2 linked regions of the Schizosaccharomyces pombe genome follow. The protein of the gene in region 2 purifies or fractionates together with the protein of the main gene of each other region. This does not show direct contact. Each region holds a gene or a part of one and is shown on either strand. Other genes may lie near its edges. The genes, in order: dhp1 and pdc2.

Evidence for each region.
Region 1: the proteins of pdc2 (region 2) and dhp1 purify together in Schizosaccharomyces pombe (affinity purification with western blotting, with the first as the bait; one study listed by BioGRID). This does not show direct contact.

The regions. Positions count from the first base shown.
Region 1 is NC_003424.3:3,355,544-3,363,051, reverse strand, and holds dhp1 (5'-3' exoribonuclease Dhp1), read left to right. Parts: upstream 1-2,048; 5' UTR 2,049-2,159; coding exon 2,160-5,135; 3' UTR 5,136-5,302; coding exon of another isoform or gene 5,303-5,923; 3' UTR 5,924-5,972; coding exon of another isoform or gene 5,973-6,320; 3' UTR 6,321-6,908; downstream 6,909-7,508. Other genes in the region: Tf2-4 (retrotransposable element/transposon Tf2-type), read left to right, coding at 1-1,505; SPOM_SPAC26A3.11 (mitochondrial omega-amidase), read right to left, coding at 5,303-5,923, 5,973-6,320; cnt6 (centaurin ADOP ribosylation factor GTPase-activating protein), read right to left, coding at 7,437-7,508. UniProt on the Schizosaccharomyces pombe protein: Possesses 5'->3' exoribonuclease activity. Required for the processing of nuclear mRNA and rRNA precursors. May promote the termination of transcription by RNA polymerase II. Essential for vegetative cell growth and chromosome segregation.
Region 2 is NC_003423.3:2,368,179-2,373,488, reverse strand, and holds pdc2 (topoisomerase II-associated deadenylation-dependent mRNA-decapping factor), read left to right. Parts: upstream 1-1,875; 5' UTR 1,876-1,905; coding exon 1,906-1,982; exon of another isoform or gene 1,983-2,037; coding exon 2,038-2,138; exon of another isoform or gene 2,139-2,245; coding exon 2,246-4,034; intron 4,035-4,072; coding exon 4,073-4,243; intron 4,244-4,295; exon of another isoform or gene 4,296-4,298; coding exon 4,299-4,425; 3' UTR 4,426-4,654; downstream 4,655-5,310. Other genes in the region: SPOM_SPBC19G7.18C (uncharacterized protein), read left to right, coding at 565-712, 761-831, 878-1,417; SUMO deconjugating enzyme Ulp1, read right to left, coding at 4,666-5,310. UniProt on the Schizosaccharomyces pombe protein: Activator of decapping that functions as a general and active mechanism of translational repression and required for P-body formation. Stabilizes the 3' terminus of mRNAs and modulates the rates of mRNA-decapping that occur following deadenylation.

The sequences.
Region 1 (7,508 bases), on a different chromosome or scaffold from region 2:
TTGACGAAACAGAACCAATTCCAAAAGATTCAGAAGACAATAGTATCAACTTTGTTAATCAAATCTCGATAACCGATGATTTTAAAAACCAAGTGGTTACAGAATATACGAATGATACAAAATTGTTGAATTTACTAAACAATGAAGACAAACGAGTGGAAGAGAATATCCAACTCAAAGATGGCTTACTAATTAACAGTAAAGACCAAATCTTATTACCTAATGATACTCAGCTGACTAGGACAATTATTAAAAAGTATCATGAAGAAGGTAAATTGATTCATCCAGGCATTGAACTTCTTACAAACATTATATTACGTAGATTTACGTGGAAAGGAATAAGAAAACAAATACAAGAATATGTACAGAACTGCCATACATGTCAAATAAACAAATCTAGGAATCATAAACCTTATGGACCTTTACAACCAATTCCCCCATCAGAAAGACCTTGGGAATCTTTATCAATGGATTTTATTACAGCTTTACCAGAATCATCTGGTTATAATGCACTTTTCGTGGTAGTTGACCGATTTTCAAAAATGGCAATCTTAGTACCTTGTACGAAATCCATTACAGCAGAGCAAACAGCTCGAATGTTTGATCAACGAGTTATTGCTTATTTCGGCAATCCAAAAGAAATCATTGCAGATAATGATCATATTTTTACTTCCCAAACGTGGAAAGATTTCGCACATAAATATAATTTCGTTATGAAATTTTCGTTACCATACAGACCACAAACTGATGGACAAACTGAGCGTACAAACCAAACTGTGGAGAAATTACTAAGATGTGTATGTAGCACACATCCAAATACATGGGTAGATCATATATCCCTAGTGCAACAATCTTACAACAATGCGATACATTCAGCAACTCAAATGACACCTTTTGAGATAGTACATCGCTATTCACCAGCTTTATCACCTTTAGAGTTACCTAGCTTTAGTGACAAAACTGACGAAAACTCTCAGGAAACGATCCAAGTATTTCAAACAGTTAAAGAACACTTGAATACAAACAACATAAAGATGAAAAAGTATTTCGATATGAAAATACAAGAAATTGAAGAATTTCAACCTGGAGACCTAGTTATGGTCAAAAGAACGAAAACAGGTTTTCTTCATAAATCCAATAAATTAGCACCTAGTTTTGCAGGACCGTTCTATGTGTTACAGAAGTCGGGTCCAAACAACTATGAATTGGATCTTCCAGATTCAATCAAGCACATGTTTTCATCTACTTTTCATGTTTCTCACCTAGAAAAGTATCGACATAATTCAGAACTCAATTACGCTACCATTGATGAGTCTGATATTGGAACAATTCTTCATATCCTAGAACATAAAAACAGAGAACAAGTACTCTACTTAAATGTCAAGTACATTTCGAATCTAAATCCGAGTACTATTATGTCAGGATGGACTACATTAGCTACAGCGCTACAAGCGGACAAAGCAATTGTCAATGATTATATTAAAAACAATAATCTAAATATCTGAGAACATATGACTTATCCTCAGATTTACATAGAAAATCTTGGGGAGGGCAATGTCAGCAATACTACACTACGCTATAATACACTACGTTGAGTATCACTATATGTCACATGTTCTAATTATATATCGTACCATGTATGATACGATATGGAGATTGATCTTAATGATAATCTATTAAGATCAATATTATCTGAATACTATAAATAGAGCTACTGCTGAACCTCGTTCCTCAGTTCAGTTATGAGCTATATTAGTGATAGGTAACATTATAACCCAGTTAATACAATACCTATACTCAGTTGCTACTTATACAACCTGTGTATTGTAATATAATAGATCACAAGGAAAACTCACCGCAGTTCTACGTATCCTTAAATCAGATACCAAACTGCGTAGCTTACACTTAAGAGACTAGATTTTAACTATTGTATAGCGAGTACGTTAGTAATTTCCAATTTACTCCAATGTGCGTTAAAAAATTTAGGTAGGACTGCGGAGACTACGCTAGATCTAGATTAAAATACCTAAATATTAAATCTTCAACTTATACTACACTCGTAGTCTTTAGTATCTAAAATTTACCAATTTGGGCTTTTTTGAAGCATTTGGTTTGGAGAAGATTTATTCGATTGAGTATTTTCTCCTTTACACCAAAAAATGGGTGTTCCAGCACTTTTCCGCCTTTTGTCGAGGAAATTCGCAAAGGTCATTACACCTGTTATTGAGGCTCCTACTGAAAAGCTTCCAGATGGTACTGAAATTGAACCAGATTTAAGTCTTCCCAATCCAAACGGAGTGGAATGCGACAACTTGTATTTGGATATGAATGGTATTGTTCATCCTTGTTCCCATCCTGAAGATCGCCCCGCTCCAGAGACTGAAGACGAGATGATGGTTGCTGTCTTTGAATACACGGATCGTATTCTTGCCATGGTTCGTCCTCGTCAGTTATTGTTCATTGCAATCGATGGCGTGGCTCCTAGAGCCAAAATGAATCAGCAGAGATCACGTCGTTTTCGTTCTTCTCGTGAAGCAGCTCTCAAAGAAGAAGAATTACAAGCCTTCATTGAGGAGGCAAAACAACAGGGAATTCCCATCGACGAAAACGCTACGAAGAAAAAATCTTGGGACAGTAATTGCATTACCCCCGGCACACCTTTCATGGACACTTTGGCCAAGTCTCTTCGTTACTACATAATAAATAAACTAAATAGTGATCCGTGCTGGAGAAATGTCAGATTTATACTTTCTGACGCCTCGGTTCCTGGTGAAGGTGAGCATAAGATCATGGAATTTATTCGATCTCAACGAGTGAAACCAGAGTATGATCCAAATACACACCACGTTGTTTACGGTTTAGATGCAGACCTAATTATGCTTGGTTTGGCTACTCATGAACCCCATTTTCGTGTATTGCGTGAAGATGTCTTCTTTCAACAAGGAAGTACTAAAAAGACAAAGGAAGAGCGTCTTGGCATCAAGAGACTTGATGATGTTTCTGAGACCAATAAGGTTCCTGTAAAAAAACCATTTATATGGCTCAACGTTAGCATTTTGAGGGAGTATCTAGAAGTGGAACTTTATGTCCCCAATTTACCTTTTCCATTTGACTTAGAACGTGCGATTGACGACTGGGTCTTCTTTATCTTTTTTGTGGGTAATGATTTTCTTCCTCATTTGCCTAGTTTAGATATTCGTGATGGTGCCGTAGAGCGGTTGACTGAAATATGGCGAGCTAGTCTTCCGCACATGGGTGGTTATCTTACTTTGGATGGTTCTGTTAATTTAGCTCGTGCTGAAGTCATTCTGAGTGCTGTAGGTAACCAGGAAGATGATATTTTTAAGCGTCTTAAACAGCAAGAAGATCGTCGTAACGAAAACTATAGACGCCGTCAACAACGCGAGTCAAATCAGGAATCAGAATCTTATGTTGACAACGTCGTAATTCAGCGTTCAGTTGAGACGCAATCGACAGAAGTTGTTACCTCTTCTAAATCAACTTCTGTTGATACTAAACCGCCAAAGAAAACTCAAAAAATTGACGCTCCGGCTCCAGTGGATTTGGTTAATTTGTCTGAAAAAACTTCAAATCGATCTCTAGGCGCTACTAATAGAGAATTAATTAATAATCGCGCTGCTAACCGTCTTGGACTTTCTAGGGAAGCAGCTGCTGTTTCTTCAGTTAACAAATTGGCGGCCTCTGCATTGAAAGCTCAGTTGGTTTCAAATGAGACACTACAAAATGTTCCTTTGGAAGACAGCATAGCTTCATCCAGTGCATATGAAGATACCGATAGTATTGAATCTAGTACCCCTGTTGTACATCCAATAGACACAAAAGTTTCAAATGTGGGTCAGAAGAGAAAGGCCCCAGATTCGACTGAAGAAAATGAAAATACTGATACAGTCCGCCTGTATGAGCCTGGATACCGCGAACGGTATTATGAACAAAAATTCCACATTTCACCCGATGAACCAGAAAAAATTCGTGAAGCTGTTAAACATTATGTTCATGGATTGTGCTGGGTTCTTTTGTATTATTATCAAGGCTGTCCATCTTGGACCTGGTATTATCCATATCATTATGCTCCTTTTGCCGCTGATTTCAAAGATTTGGCCTCCATAGATGTAAAATTTGAACTAAATCAACCCTTCAAGCCTTACGAACAATTACTAGGCGTTTTACCTGCTGCTAGTAAAAATAATTTACCTGAAAAATTGCAAACTCTTATGACTGATGAAAACTCTGAAATTATTGACTTTTACCCGGAAAATTTTACTATTGATTTAAACGGGAAAAAATTTGAATGGCAGGGAGTTGCTCTTTTACCATTTATAGATGAAAATCGGCTTTTGAATGCTGTATCAAAAATCTATCCTCAACTTACCGAGGAAGAGTCAAAAAGAAATGAGGATGGTTCTACTTTATTATTTATTTCTGAACATCATCCAATGTTTAGCGAACTTGTCAAACAACTTTACTCCAAGAAACGTCAAGGTAAACCACTTAAGTTATCCGGAAAGATGGCACATGGATTGTTTGGCAAAGTTAACACCAATGATTCCGTAATTCCCAATGTATCCGTTCAATGCCCAATTGATGTTACATCCGCTGACGCCCTTCAGAAGTATGGAAGCATAGATGATAATCAATCTATAAGTCTTGTGTTTGAAGTACCTAAATCGCATTTCGTACATAAATCCATGCTTTTAAGGGGAGTGAAAATGCCGAACAGGGTGTTAACCCCAGAAGATATCAACCAAGTACGTGCAGAGAGGAGCTTTTCTTCCCGCCGAAACAATGGTAATTCGTATCGTGGAGGACACCAAAGTTATGGTGTCCGACGCTCTTACCAATCGCAAAGTTACAGTAGTCGACAGAGCTACACTGGAGTTACTAATGGTTTTGCAAACGGTGGAGTTCAACCTCCTTGGTCTGGTAATGGCAATTTTCCTCGTTCTAATGCAAGCTATAACTCTCGCGGCGGCCACGAAGGATACGGCGGGCGCTCGAGAGGTGGTGGTTATTCGAATGGACCGCCAGCTGGTAACCACTATAGTAGTAATCGCGGAAAGGGTTACGGCTATCAGCGAGAATCCTATAACAATAATAACAGGAATGGCTACTATTAATACATTTAAGTTTTCTTAGTACAATTTTGAAAGCGGGTTTGGGATATTGGAGATAAATAATATATCTGATTATTTGAATTTCATTGGCACATTGCATAATTAGTTATGCAATTCAGTTACAAAATGCATGTTGATAACATAAAATTATACTCAACAACTATACCGATCTATTCCTCTTTCTTAAGAGCAGGTAATACTTCTGAATAAACATCAAAGCGGCGTTGAGTATAGATAGGAACGCTGTTTCGAGCGGTAGACATGACAGAGGGATCAATATCTGCGTAAACGATAGACGGTTTTTCATCAGTAGTAGCAATAACTTTTCCGAAAGGGTCTACAACAGTAGAATGTCCCCATGAATGATAGTCAGCGTTCATATCTCTAGCAGGGGCACAGCAAGCAACGAACATCTCATTATCAACTGCTCGGGCTCGTGCAAGTAGTTCCCAATGTAAAGGGCCTGTGGACAAATTAAATGCTCCAGGGTAAATCATCACACTACAGCCATTTCTAGCTGCTATCATAGCGAGTTCCGGAAATCGTATATCGTAACAAATACCCAAACCAAACTTCCCGTATTCAGTGTCAACCATAGTCATGGCGTCGCCAGGTGAAAGACTATCAGATTCGCGGAAGCTAACTCCACCAGGAATGTCAATATCGAATAAATGAATTTTCCGATGAACGGCTATCAATTTTCCAGAAGGATCAAACACCATTGCAGTGTTGTATAATTTGCCATCCTTGCGTTCAGGAATAGAACCGCCAAATAAGTAAGTCTTAGTATCCTACAGTACCGTTAGTCTCACATAATCAACGAAAATTAAATTAACAAACCTTTGCCATAGAGGATAAAGCTTGGTAAGAAGGAGATGATTCCTCTATAGGTTCAGCATACTGATTAAAGTAACCAGTACCATATGGTGAATTGAAAATTTCTGGTAATACAATGACATTAGAACCGTTTTTAGCGGCTTCCAATACTTTTAAACGAGCGAGTTGTAAATTTTCGCTCTTGTCTTTGGTATTGGCAAGCTGAACCAAGCCAATACGAAAAGCACGAAAATCTTTAGGAACCAGAGATGAAGCTGAGACAGACATGATGTTCCTTGTATAGCAAAAATTTAATGAAGGAAAAAAGGATCTTGTGCCTTTTTGAACGAGTCCAAAAAATTTACTGTTCATATAAACAATCACCGACTTGAAATTTTAGGTGAAGGAAGAGGAATGAGTAGAAAGCAAAGATACGAGGGAAGATGTCCTGATTTGTAGGCTAGTCTCAGAATATCTAGCTTGCGATAATTTTGAGCTCCAAAATATTATATTCCTGAAATCTCAATGTAACTTATTAAGCACGTGGCTAGCGAAATCCTCCAATCCAAATTACACCTTGTTATCAAAAAGAAATTTAGCAAGGTGATCAAACTTCCATGTCTTTGATAAGAAGAATGTCGACATCAAACTAGTTTTCAATCTATTGTAAATCTAAAGAAGAAAAAGGGATTTACATTCAAGCAGCAACTACACAAATAGAAATCGTTGTTTGAATGTTACGGAAGGCAAGACCAAAAAAATTGTTTTTGTTTATCTACAAGTTACAAAAGAATGATATTTATTACTGTGTCAACTAGTTTATAGGTAATGATAATATCGTCTGTCATTTTTAGAAAAAGGGGATTCAATTACTATAGATATTCAGTTGTTCCGAATGTGTTGAAAAATAAAATCTTAAGCGTCTTCGTTTCGCAAAAGAAGAAAATAAATGTTATAATAGCTCGAATGAACTGTTTGGCATACATGTTAATTTCACGTATATTGAATATTGATCTTGTTCAATAACAAATGAACTTATGGCATGCATAAGATCCATCAATCGAGAAGAGCCTAAAAATCGCATTTGAATGCGTATTTAAAGAAAGAATAGCTGTATCCTTAGTCAAAAAATTTTGTATTGAAAGAAAAAAGATTAAGAGTATAATGAAAATAAAGAGGAAAAGAAAGTTCGAAAACCAAAAGATGACCAAGAAAATAATGAGTAAATTACGTTGTTTAGCAAACAACCAAAATAAATTGCAATAATAAATTATAGAATTAACACATGATCCGAATAAGAGTAAAGCTGTGGAGATTAATAAGCTCTCCATTCAAATTCGTTGCGCTTCAAATCATGGAATTCACGGAAATCCGAAATGAAATGACACCTGAATAGATATTGAAATAGATGGTAAAAAGAAAGAATGAATTCGATTGGAAAAATGAACATAAAAGATGATTTGATGCAAAAAGTAAAAATGCTTCTCCCTACTCTTTCAAATACTTTGTAAATTGTTTTTGCGAAAGATATGATTGCATATCTGGACTTACATGCTCCGA
Region 2 (5,310 bases):
AGACTTATTTAACAACTGGGAAATTCCTGTTGAACATATATGCTTGCAATATTAAAATTCAAAACAATCGTATACCACGAATTGATGCCACCAAGGTCTGTTTCATTGAAAGATGGAATGTAAAACGTAGTTCGAAAAAGTTGCATATTTCATCACAAGTGCTTACCAGCCAAAAAAAATTCAGTCTATCAGTTTCATAAGAAATTTCAACAGAACAATCTTGTGTGTCAAATTTTTATTCAGATACGTATTTCTTATTCATGCCAAGTATCACTGTAGTAGCTGGGAAATTTAGATGGTCCTAATCCCTAGAGATTCTCCTTATTCACATCCTCTTACATCAGTATCCAAACTATCCATAAGGCAACAAGTGATGAGTACTATTACCTTTTAGTAGTAGTATTTTTACATTAGAAAGGCCTCAAATTTTTATATATTGGGTTAAATTGTACAGTCCGCAAATAATTTAATTACATTTATTTCGCTAACATAACCCGTATAAGCACGTTTCATATTCTTGACATTATTGTGTAGCCTCAGGAATCGCTTCCAACGTTTATTATCATGGATTTTTTTTGGGAACGAATGTTAAATGATCCTCAAAACCATTTCAGTGATGACCAAAAGGAATTTCTAAATCATGCAAAATACCGTGTCAAAAGAAATACGATTTTTGGGATGCTAGTCGGGTTTTCTCTCCCATTATACTTAGGTATGAGATTTCGAACAAGCAATTGAAAATAACTTTCTTATTTTTTAGCTCGTAACAAAAAGGTTACTCCAATCCGCTTGTATGCAACATCAATTATAGGAGGTCTTGCTGGAAATGGGGTAAGTTTTAAGTAATACTAAGCTCAAGCTTACAAATTATGAATAGGTTGCTCAGATTACTACTCTGGCATACAATTTGTCGGCTATACGTCAAAGAGATGATGGCTTTGAAATACTTCGCAAAATACAAGACTCCCTTATTCGACAAAGAACAACGATGCGACAAGGCAGATTTCCTTCTTCATCTTCTGAATTCCCTCCAAAAAACTCAAAATATCAATTACCTGGAAGTATGCCGAATACTGGTGCCTCTTCTAGTCAAGATCCCTTTACGAATTCACAGAGTACGGAGAAAGAGGACGCCATGTACTCTAAAGACAATGGCTTTGAAGATCGATCAAAGCCAGCGTCAGCATGGGAAGCTATTCGTAACCGTAATCGAAATACCGGTAACAATTCTTTTCCATTTTACGAAGAAGACTCGAGTGTTAAATCCACAGATAGTGCTTTTAGTGGACAAGAAAATTCTGAAGCATTTCCTTCCCGAACTTCTAATCTAGGCTCTGAACAGTTGGATGAACCTATTTCTCACGAACAGGAGGCATTTGATCAATTGATCTGGAATGATTCATCGTCTTCCAAATAATTTCCTTTATCTCTACATGTTACGATAATTTAAAATTAATTTTTACCAATTTGAGTGTCACTGAATTTATGATGTAAAGTAGTTAAATTTAGTAGATATTTCTTTTTTTCTATACTGCATTGCCAGATTGATGTAGCTTGCTTGAGCAAGCAACTTATGTATGTTCATGCATAAATTTCGATACATTTCAGTCTTTCAAAAAGAGATAAATTTAAATTCATATTTATGATATACATCTATACGTGATAGGTTTTAATAGCTAGTCTTGAAGATTGATGTGAAATAAAATAGGGATAGATTTACTGGTATAGCAAACCAAATAACAACTTTAAAATTCAGATATAAAAAAAGAACGCAAAGTAAAAATATATATAAAACGCCATGAATCAGTCTGCGTCGAACCAACCCAATCTACTGTCATGAGTATTGTTGTATGCAGTGCCGCCCACCTAGCTACCACCAACTTCTCATTACCATAAACCCATAAAATGTCATTTTTTGGGTTTAATACTACCCTTCCAAAGGAAAATATGTTTCCTAACGAAGGGCAGTTAGAAGAGGATGGGTAAGTCGTTAATATTAATGTAAATATGATACTTTAAGCTCACAAGTATATTTAGCATTGACTTTGAGGAGACCTACGACGATTTGGGTAATCAATTAAATGAAGCCGGAGATGAACTAAACGACGAGACTTTTGGTGTTAGCGCTGGAAGTATAGGTATGTACCTTTGTGCTTGTGATTCTGTAATCATTCTCGGCTGTCATATCTGGGATATTGCAAGCTATTAGTATTTAATATTTTAATATTTTTTCTCACAATTCTAGGACGTGATTTTGATTTTTCAGGTACTACCGCTCAAGCATCTGCACAATTGGAAGATGAGCAGTACCAAATTAATCAACAAAATATTTTCGCTAAACCTGTCAAACCAGCTTCTTCAGAGTTACCTCAAGTTAGTAGACTTAATGGTGCTTCACAATTTCCTTCACGGGAACCTGCGTCTACTGCGATCAATAAGCTTTCCGATTTGCAGCCTATGGCTTCGATTTGGGAAAATATTGTTCCAGAAAAGCCGGCTATTATTCCACCTGAGGTAGCCTCTCTTCAAGATCGTTTGGGTGCCCAACCATCTGAGAAGGTTTTTAGCTTGCAGGAGTTGGAGGAACAGTTATTGAACTCAATGACCGCTCCAAAACCACCTTCTCAACCCGCTATTCCCATTGTTCCATCCGAAATGGCTGCTCAAGTAACTCGAGAAAACATCTCTTCATTGGACCCGGCGATTAGTGCGGCTAGTATTGGTAATGTTACTTTTGGTCAACCAAACATCCCTAGCACTACAACTGATTTTGCTGGATTAGCTGCTCCTAATATGGTACATCCTTCGCAAGCTATACCCAATCCTGTTATGCAACCTTCCCTTGTACCTCAAATGCCATATCCTCAAAACGGCATGTACAACCCAAGTGTTGCTCCTCCTGCTTCCCTTGTTAATCTTTTCCAGCAGGAACAATTAATTCAAAACCAGAACCTTGATGAAAAACGTCAAAAGTTAGAGCGTGATCATATGCTCATGGCTCAATGTGCTGGGTTAATGACACGCAGTGATAAATCGTTTATTGCGAGAATTCAAATATCGCAATTGATGTCGGAGGATCCCGAATCTGATGATTTTTATTATCGCGTTTACTCAATTATTCGAGGCCGCAAGCCTTCCGAGGAAGAAGCCAGTCATTTTATACAGACTTATCTAGGACCTAGCAATAATCGCCGTCGTGGTCGTCGCTCCGAAAATCCTATGCAGAAATTACAACAGCAACTTCAGCGTTTGGTTTCTTCTGCCAAAGAGCGCCCTAAGGCAACTCAGTTGTCTTTAGAAGGTGCTCTTGGTAAAATTGCTGTTAATACTGTTCGCACACCACGACAATTGTTGAATGTTAAACGTCCTACCGAACCAGCATCTTCAAATTCATCATTAAACAATTTTTCTGGATTTTCTACGAAGAAGGATGTATTGCACGCTATTGAGAAAGTTTATGACTTGTTGCTTGACTTTGAGCAAGCCCTCCGTAAAGCCTCAACGCTAGAAACTACCGATCAGGAGCAAATAGATACATGGAAAACTACTTTAAGCGAGAAATTGGAGTCCATTTGGAAGGCATTATACATAAATGAATCATTGGAAGCATCTTCTAAGACTAGGCCTCCATTCATTTCTATAATTTCTCACCCCAAAGGAATGAGGCTGCTACCTCGCTTGTTCCCACATTTGTCCAAAGAGCAACAAATTTCGATTTTAAAGGTCGTAGTTTACAATTTTGATTCTCTTGATATAGTCCTTAGGGGAACATTTGACGTTAACGGTGAGCTGCCTTTGGACGTTGTTTCCGAAATGAGTTCTTTCACGCAGTTCATCATCCCTCCATTGCTCACTATTGTTAATGAACTTGATTTGGAAACTATAAATAACTTATTTTCTCAACTTCTCAATCGCACTAATGCTGTTTATTTAATACAGACGAAGATTGGTTTGTCGTTCCTTACTCTATTCATTAGTCGCGCAGAAATTTTAAAGCAATCTGGCACTGTAAATCAAAATGAAAAAGAAGAATGGTACGTTATACATGTATTTACAGCATCTAACTATTTAGGGAAAATACATTCAATGTTATGTTTAATCGCGTAAAAGGTCATTTCTCGACGGTATTCCCACCACCTAACGCTCGAGCTTATGCTGATGAATCTTATCCATGGGAATTCTTAGCAGCTTGTGCTACTGCTGCTAGCTCTGAACAACATTTTACATTGGTTTCTGAAACTAGGTACGTTAAAATATGTCTAGTCGAGTTTTTGTACTAACAAATATGTAAAAAATAGGGACAGAGTACTTGATAACATCATTACTAGCAAACGGGCACCTTCTGAAATTGCTGTTGTGCGCATCAGCAATGTTAATTTGTTTTTAAATGCAATGGGGCTCGACGCTCGTCAGCTCAGCGCTTAAGTTTGTTTATAAGATATGCGGGTATTTTTTTTTTCAAAAGCTATATTTGCTGAGATTCCTGGATTCAGATTTATTAATTAGAGTATTCCCTGCTACTTAAAAAATGCATACGCTCTAATATAGATTTAAGTAAATTATGTCCTTTTTGAAAACGCTGAATATGAAATAAAATGTATTGAACGAGAAAGAAATTAATATAAAAAACGATAAGTATATAGACAAAAAGTTTATAGCACATATTTAATAGATTTGTGCATCAATAATACTAGCTGCCATTTTGATTCGTAGTTCAGGCATATCATTTTGACTAAACTGAACAGGAACATTTCTAGATACACATTCAGCAGTTTTACAAGCAAAAACTCCACAATCATGTCCATTTCGTTGTCTTGGAGAATTGTCATCCATAAAATTTTCCCAATCTGACACGTCGACGGCACCTTTTGTTTCTGCAATATAATAGTCGCGCAACAAATCAAAAACTTTACCAGGGCTTCCGGCCAGCGAGTCCCAGTATTCAAATCGTTTCTTCGATTTGTTAATAACAGCCATACACCAGTGGACATCCAGATGTACTGGTATAAATACAGCATCCATATCTGCAATATTAACGCGTGCCTTTTTGGCCCATCTTCGAACACCCGCGTATCCACGGCGCTGCAAAGATGTATAAAAAAAAGTATTAAACCCATGTACCCGAGGTAAGGATGAATCAATTTTAGAGCGTTCCGAAATCAAATTCATGTAAAAATTAATTACCTCGTCATTTAACCATTGTCTATTCCGCAGAGTATGCAAGTCTTTAAGCGTGATTGGAATATTAAATTTGGTGATGATGGGTTCAGAAGAGGAAACAGAATTGCTTTGGTTTAAATATTTCAGTGC